2 linked regions of the Xenopus tropicalis genome follow. The protein of the gene in region 1 binds, or shares a complex with, the protein of each later gene. Links are inferred from orthologs where the notes say so. Each region holds a gene or a part of one and is shown in the gene's direction. Other genes may lie near its edges.

The links.
Region 2: the proteins of katnb1 (region 1) and katna1 are in contact, whole or in part, in a crystal structure (PDB 5OW5), measured with the Mus musculus proteins. The link is inferred for Xenopus tropicalis from reciprocal best matches to the Homo sapiens genes KATNB1 and KATNA1. Residues at the interface, in NP_083081.2 of Mus musculus: Leu485, Val486, Asp487, Glu488, Ala490, Met491, Gln493, Ile494, Arg495, Gly497, His498, Met501, Phe502, Val504, Leu505, Thr506, Arg508, His509, Leu512, Asp513, Val515, Arg516, Trp519, Thr521, Asp542, Leu543, Ile546, Gln549, Lys550, Leu553; in NP_035965.2 of Mus musculus: Leu5, Gln6, Ile8, Val9, Val12, Arg16, Ala19, Leu20, Leu21, Gly22, Tyr24, Tyr31, Tyr41, Leu50, Lys53, Trp54, Gln56, Val57, Glu60, Ile61, Val63, Glu64, Gln67, Val68, Asp70, Ile71, Thr74, Leu75, Ser77, Phe78.

The regions. Positions count from the first base shown.
Region 1 is NC_030680.2:76,070,406-76,074,061, reverse strand, and holds part of katnb1 (katanin p80 WD40 repeat-containing subunit B1), read left to right. Parts: coding exon 1-101; intron 102-3,452; coding exon 3,453-3,494; intron 3,495-3,630; coding exon 3,631-3,656.
Region 2 is NC_030681.2:58,161,845-58,165,500, reverse strand, and holds part of katna1 (katanin p60 ATPase-containing subunit A1), read left to right. Parts: intron 1-304; coding exon 305-410; intron 411-2,705; coding exon 2,706-2,864; intron 2,865-3,656. UniProt on the Homo sapiens protein: Catalytic subunit of a complex which severs microtubules in an ATP-dependent manner. Microtubule severing may promote rapid reorganization of cellular microtubule arrays and the release of microtubules from the centrosome following nucleation.

The DNA.
Region 1 (3,656 bases):
TTCTAAGGACACTAATGGGACACAAAGCCAATGTCTGCAGCCTGGATTTTCATCCTTATGGGGATTTTGTAGCATCTGGGTCCTTGGACACTAACATAAAAGTAAGAACCCATGCAGAATCACTAGAATTGTAAGAGAACACCACACATTGAAAATAGGTTTAAATAAACTTTTATGCTGATCAGAACTTGCATATATAAAAAAAAAACTATAGATCTTGTAAACTTTAAAGTGGTTGCGCCCCCCCCATGAAAAAAAAAATAATTCTAATCAACTTTCCAATATACATTCAAGCAGACCACTGGTCTGAATGCTGGAACTTGCCAGGTGAGTCAGATTTGCAAAAAAAGCATGCAAGGCATAGTAGAAATTGAAGAGCCCCCCATCCCTGACAGGGGAATTTTAATTGGAATAAATAAGTGTTAATTTCATGTATCTGCAAGTTCTGCCCTATATGGTATACCACCATTGTGGGATGTTGAATGCATATCTTGATCCACTGTATGCAGTTATTTATTGGATGTCAGCTGTTTAGGCCTTTTTACAGAATTATACATAATTCTGTTATGCATTGGGATTATTTTGCTGAATATTAGTGTATATATTAGTGTATGAAATTAGACCATTACCATTGTAGCAACAAGTGAAGATATGTATTTCTGACACTGTGTCTATTAGATAGGTCAGGATGATGCAACCCTAGCAAGGGTATAGCTGCATATATATCCACCAGCAACTTGGTATTAAATGGTGGTAACTGCACCATAATTTCTGTGATATTGTTAGGGTAATAACTAGCATGAGCTAGGGCTATAGCAGAAATATGCAAAATCTTAGAATTTTTTTAAATTGAAAAATAATTGGACACTAACATATTATTTGTCCCTAGGCTTATTAAATATTATTGAGATAAGATATTGTATCATTTGTATTTGGGTGTAGGTTTGGTCATCTCCAATAACACCGGGACATACAGTGTATATAAAAAGTCTACACACCCCTGGTAAAATGTCAGGTTCCTGTGCTGTACAAAAATGAGACAAATATAAATAATTTCAGAACTTTTCCACCTTTAATGTGACCTATAAACTGTACCACTCAATTGAAAAACGAACTGAAATCTTTTAGGTGGAGGGAAGAAAACCTAAAAAACTAAAATAATGTGGTTGCATAAGTGTGCACACCCTCTTCTAACTGGGGGTGTAGCTGTGTTCAGAATTAAGCAATCAAATTCAAAATCATGTTAAATAGGAGTCAGCATACACCTGCCATCATTTTAAGTGCCTCTGATTAACCCCAAATACAGTTCAGCTGCTCTAGTTGGTCTTTCCTGACATTTTTTTAGTCGCATCCCACAGCAAAAGCCATGGTCCCCAGAGAGCTTCCAAAGCATCAGAGGGATCTCATTGTTAAAAGATATCAGTCAGGAGAAGGGTACAAAAGAGTTTCCAAGGCATTAGATATACTATGGAACACAGTGAAGACAGTCATCATCAAGTGGAGAAAATATGGCACAACAGTGACATTAACAAGAACTGGACGTCCCTCCAAAATTGATGGAAAACTGGTCAGGGAGGCTACCAAGAGGCCTACAGCAACATTTAAGGAGCTGCAGGAATATCTGGCAAGTACTGGCTGTGTGGTACATGTGACAACCCGTATTCTTCATATATCTGGGCTGTGGGGTAGAATGGCAAGACAAAAGCCTTTTCTTACGAAGAAAAACATCCAAGCCAGGCTACATTTTGCAAAAACACATCTGAAGTCTCCCAAAAACATGTGGTAAAAGGTATTATGGTCTGATGAAACCAAGGTTGAACTTTTTGGCCATAATTCCAAAAAATGTGTTTGGCGCAAAAACAATACTGCACATCACCAAAAGAACACCATACCCACAGTGAAGCATGGTGGTGGCAGCATCATGCTTTGGGGCTGTATTTCTTCAGCTGGAACTGGGGCCTTAGTTAAGATAGAGGGAATTATGAACAGTTCCAAATACAAGTCAATATTGGCACAAAACCTTCGGGCTTCTGCTAGAATGCTGAACATGAGGAGGAACTTCATCTTTCAGCATGACAACGGCCCAAAGAATACATCCAAATCAACAAAGGAATGGCTTCACCGGAAGAAGATCTGACAGATTTGAAGTGTTTCTGCAAAGAAGAGTGGGCAAATCTTGCAAAGTCAAAATGTGCCATGCTGATAGACTCATACCCAAAAAGTGCTGTAATAAAGTCAAAAGGTGTTTCAACAAAGTATTAGTTTAAGGGTGTGCACACTTATGCAACCACATTATTTTAGTTTTTTTGGTGTTCTTCCCTCCCCCTAAAAGATTTCAGTTTGTTTTTCAATTGAGTGGTACAGTTTATAGGTCACATTAAAGGTGGAAAAAGTTCTGAAATTATTTTTTTGTCTCATTTTTGTACAGCACAGGAACCTGACATTTTATCAGGGGTGTGTAGACTTTTTATATCCACTGTATGTGAGATGATTGTAAATGCAAACAGGACTAAAGGATTGCTGTTTGTTAGGCTTGCCTGAAAGGCCATGTTTGCCAATGTTTAAGTTTCCAGGATATCTATTTTCCAAGTGGTAACTGGAGGTTACATTACTTTATGTGATTTATTATTCAGTTAAATTAAAGGGGCAATCAAGTCCTATTTTTAAGCAAAAGCCAGATCAACAGGGGCTGTGCTTTGTCCTTTTTTAAATAGAAATCTATAGTTATTTGTTGCGCTAAAATGCAGTAACATTTAAACTACTTTCATTTTAAATTTGGTCCTTTTGTATTCAAAACAAATATGGGTAGTAGGCTATAAAGGGAGGCTTTGGGTGTTTTGCCTGATAATAAAAGCAGTTTTATTTTACACTTGCTACAGAGTAGTTGTAGGAGGAGAAAATGTATCCTTCCCAGTTAATCCACTTGTAAATTTAACTTCTCCTCCTCCGCTGTCAGACTGAGACAGCAACTGAGGGAAGGGGACAGCTTGTTTATATAGAACACATTATCTCCCTTTAAACTAACTCCCTTTATTTACAAGCGATTGAATGATTGATGTAATTAGGGTCAAAACAAAATAATGACCTATATAGTACCTATATAAGTAAAGTATAGGTAATTTTAAAGAATGAATAGAATGCAAGATATCCAACCTAATATTATAAGAGCCAAAGAGTCCTCTTCTCTCCTTGCCCTTCATATGCATCATTGAGAGGACTATTTGCTCTATTCACAGTATTCTGTAGTTTAACAGTCGAGAATTTGTAATTAATATTTGATAAATGAGACAAAGATGGTTTCATTATATGACATATTTGTAATTCTGCTGGTACTGTATGCACTGATAGGTTAGAGTTTAGTGCTTGAGGAAATATAAATTTCATATATAAATGAAGTTAGTTTAATATTTACATCACTGAACCATTAACAAACTTTTCTTTTGTTCTTTTAGTTATGGGATGTGCGCAGGAAAGGCTGTGTTTTTCGCTATAAGGTACATTCTTTGTGGAGGACATATCTGTATTGAAGCGTATGCAGTAATAACGCATTATCTGAATTTGTCTGAAATATGTGGATGGTTGAACTTGCTTATACTGTCAGTTAACATTTTCTGTTCTGTGAATCTCTAGGGTCATACACAAGCAGTTCGCTGTCT
Region 2 (3,656 bases), on another chromosome or scaffold:
TGTGCTAGAATGGGCAAAAGCCAGAAATTAGAGCAGGTTAAATCTGTCTGCTCACAGCATGAGTGCATTGTTTACATTTTTTTTCTGGTAAGAAACTCGCTCTTTTTTTTTATAAGCAACTGTAAGAAAATAATTGCTGTTTGTGAAAATATACTTATTAAACATCTACTCAAATGCATTTTTTATGCTTTACCTTTCAATTCACATTTTTATTGAATTATTTTCAATTACTGGGGATGGTGTAGGTGGCCACCTGTGATGGATTTGGTTAATTTTATTTCAAATACTAAAATATTTTATTTAGGGATGACATTGCAGATTTGGAGGAAGCCAAGAAACTGTTAAAGGAAGCAGTGGTACTTCCAATGTGGATGCCAGAGTTCTTTAAAGGCATAAGGAGACCATGGAAGGTAATAAAGATTTAAAGATTTTTAATGTTGTATGTTTTTCATTTATACAGTTGTTGGGGGACAGTTTTATTTCCAGTAGTTTTTCAGTGCAGTGTGAGAACTTCTAATTTATTTATTTTTTTTTATATATACTTTTTCCATGATATTAGTGAGTTACAGTATGATAAAAAAAAACTTATTGGGAATAAAATATATAATGTGCTAATATACTATTGGCAGAGATGTTATACAGTTGAATTATACAGTCAAGACACAAGTACTTATATATATTCCATTCTCCTAACTTCTTACATTTTTTTAGTTTGTGAGAATGTTTTTGTTGTTTGTCATTGAGTAACCAAAAACAACACAAAAGAGTTAAATAATGCCCTTTTCTCTTTTGGTAGACCGATTGCATTGAAGCTGTTTTATTTCTGTCTTTGTACAATATATTTTTCTTTGAATAAAATACATGGACTAGAAGAAAACTGGAATTCAACTGAAACAATAAAATTATAACCTCACAACTTTAAAGGAGAAGGAAAGGCAAAGTCACTTGGGGGTGCCAAAATGTTAGGCACCCCCAAGTGACTTTAATTGCCTACCTTTTACCCCGGGCTGGTGCCCTTGTTAGGAGAGAACAGCACCAGCCCGGGGTAGCTGCCAGCGCTTCCTTGTTCCTGCCTTGCCACGCGCACATGCGCAGTAGAGTGAAAAGCTGAACTTTAACAGAGGAGTCGGCTTTTCACTCTACTGTGCATGCGATTGTCCGGGACATTCGGCAGCAGCGCGAGTAGGAAGGAGAAAGCGCTCTGGACAGGTACCCCGGGCTGGTGCTGTTTTCTCCCAACAGGGGCACCAGCCCCGGGGTACAAGGTAGGCGATTTAAGTCACTTTGTGGTGCCTGACATTTTGGCACCCCCAAGTGACTTTGCCTTTCCTTCTCCCTGCAGGTTCCCCAGCCAGCCGTGTCCCCTACCCCCCCCCCCCCCCCCGCAGGGCCCCCACCTGACGTCCTCCCCGAGCGAGTATAAATTGAATGTGTAAGGGGAGGAACAGTCAGAAAGGGGAGCGCCGGCAAAGGTCGGACTGGGCCGCCGGGGTGCACCGGGATTTTTCCCAGTGTCCCAGCGGCCCAGTCCGACCCTGGTCACACTTTACTGCTGAGCTGCAAGTTGGAGTGATATCACCCCCCCTCACAGCAGCCGATAAGCAGAACAATGGAAAGGTAGCAAGATAGCAGCTCCCAGTAGATATCAGAAAAGTTCTCAATAGTAAGAAATCCAAGTCCGGTTTGCTACACCTCCAGTTACATGGGGGTAGGAGAAATAATTGGTTGCCTGAAAGCAGTTCTAATGTGTAGTGCTGGCTCCTTCTCAAAATCAGGCCCAAGACTGCCTACACACCAATATTACAACTAAAAAAAAATACATTTGTTGGTTCAAGAATAAAATTTTAAATGGCAGAGTGAATTATTTGCTATGTAAACAGTGTAATTTAGAAATAAAAAGTAAACCATAAAAATCATGACAGTATCCCTTTAAAAGGAGTAGTTTACCCTGCTGGAACACGGTGTAAAGTGTAAAATAGGCATAAACAGATATGTCTTTTGTTTACCGTGCTCCTTGATGAGCCCCAAGGTAGCACTGCAATCAGGGATGTGGCTAAAAGTGGGTAACACGTAGGCATCACCTGCAATGCCCTGTTAGCTTAAATTTCATTCATAATATGAATGAGCCAGAGAGCCTGTGTTAATTTCTCTCTAGCTTTGCTCCCTTTAACTCTCCAGCACCCATAGTACAGGTATGGGATCTCTTATCCGGAAACCCGTTATCCAGAAAGCTCCGAATTCCGGAAAGCCCGTCTCCCATAGACTCCATTCAGAATTTTAAAACTGATTTCCTTTTTCTCTGTAGTATAAAAACAGTACCTTGTAATTGATCCCAACTAAGATATAATAAATCCTTATTGGATGCAAAACAATCCTGTTAATGTTTTATTAATTTTTTAGTAGATTTACGGTATGGGGATCCAAATTACAGAAAGACCTCTTATCTAGAATACCCTTGGTCTCAAGCATTCTGGATAATGGGTCCTATACCTCTATTGGTAACTAGGTCCTAAAACATGTTGGTAGAAAAATTAGCGAAAACTTTTTTGTGCATTTCTATTGTAATTCATTATTGTAATTGCATTAAAACTGTTTGCATAAAATTCTTGTTTATTAAATGTTTTATTATAATAAAAAAAAATGCCAATAGTGGGACCTTCATGGATTTTTATTAAAAATGTTTTTTCTTCTCATTTATTTCCAAGGGAGTGCTAATGGTTGGGCCTCCGGGAACAGGGAAGACTCTCTTAGCCAAGGCAGTTGCCACAGAGTGCAAAACAACATTTTTTAATATTTCCTCATCTACACTTACATCCAAATACAGAGGAGAATCTGAGAAACTAGTACGTCTGTTATTTGAAATGGTGAGTACTTAAATATAATAAACAAAGTCAGTAAAATGTAATAAGTAGAATTGTATGGTGTTGTATTCAGTTATGCGGGGCAATTCAGAACTGATGTGGCCTTCTGGCTAGTGCAGAGAGAGCAATTGCATTCTTTGCACCAGAGAAATCTCCAGTTATAAAGGAAAATTTCAGTTACTTCTAGTGACTTGCTACACACTGCAAACTAAGGCAAGGTTCCCACCTTGCCACATGGCCCCACGTTGTCACGTTTAAAGGAGAATGCAAGTCAAAATTTAAAAAGCATACTGCCCAATAGTCCTCCTATTGATTAGTAAATAAAACACCTAATCAAATATTTACTCAGTCACTCATACTTCACATTTTCTAGAACAGGCAGCCATCTCTAAAAAGGTATTCTCCCATCTTTTCCCTCCTTGCTTCATACTGCACATGTGTTTCATTCCCTCCCCCCCTCCCCTCTGGCAGATCGGCTTCTGATTGGCTGGTGGGTATGTGTAGCTCAGAACAGGAGACAGGATCAAGTTACACACATGCTCAGAGAATAGGAAGGCTGCCGCTGGCAGCCTACAGGAAGGACAGATTGATTTCAGTGATGTCACTGTAGTCTTCACACTGCTGTAGGCTGCCAGCACCATATCTCAGAGAAGCAAGCAGAGATCTGGGAATTTAGATATGCAGTAAGTACTTAAAAAAGAATGCCTTTAGACTTACTTTTAATTTATATTAACCTTTCATTGTCCTTTTAAAGTGAATTGAATTCACTTGGATTGGATTTTTTCTGCTGTTGGT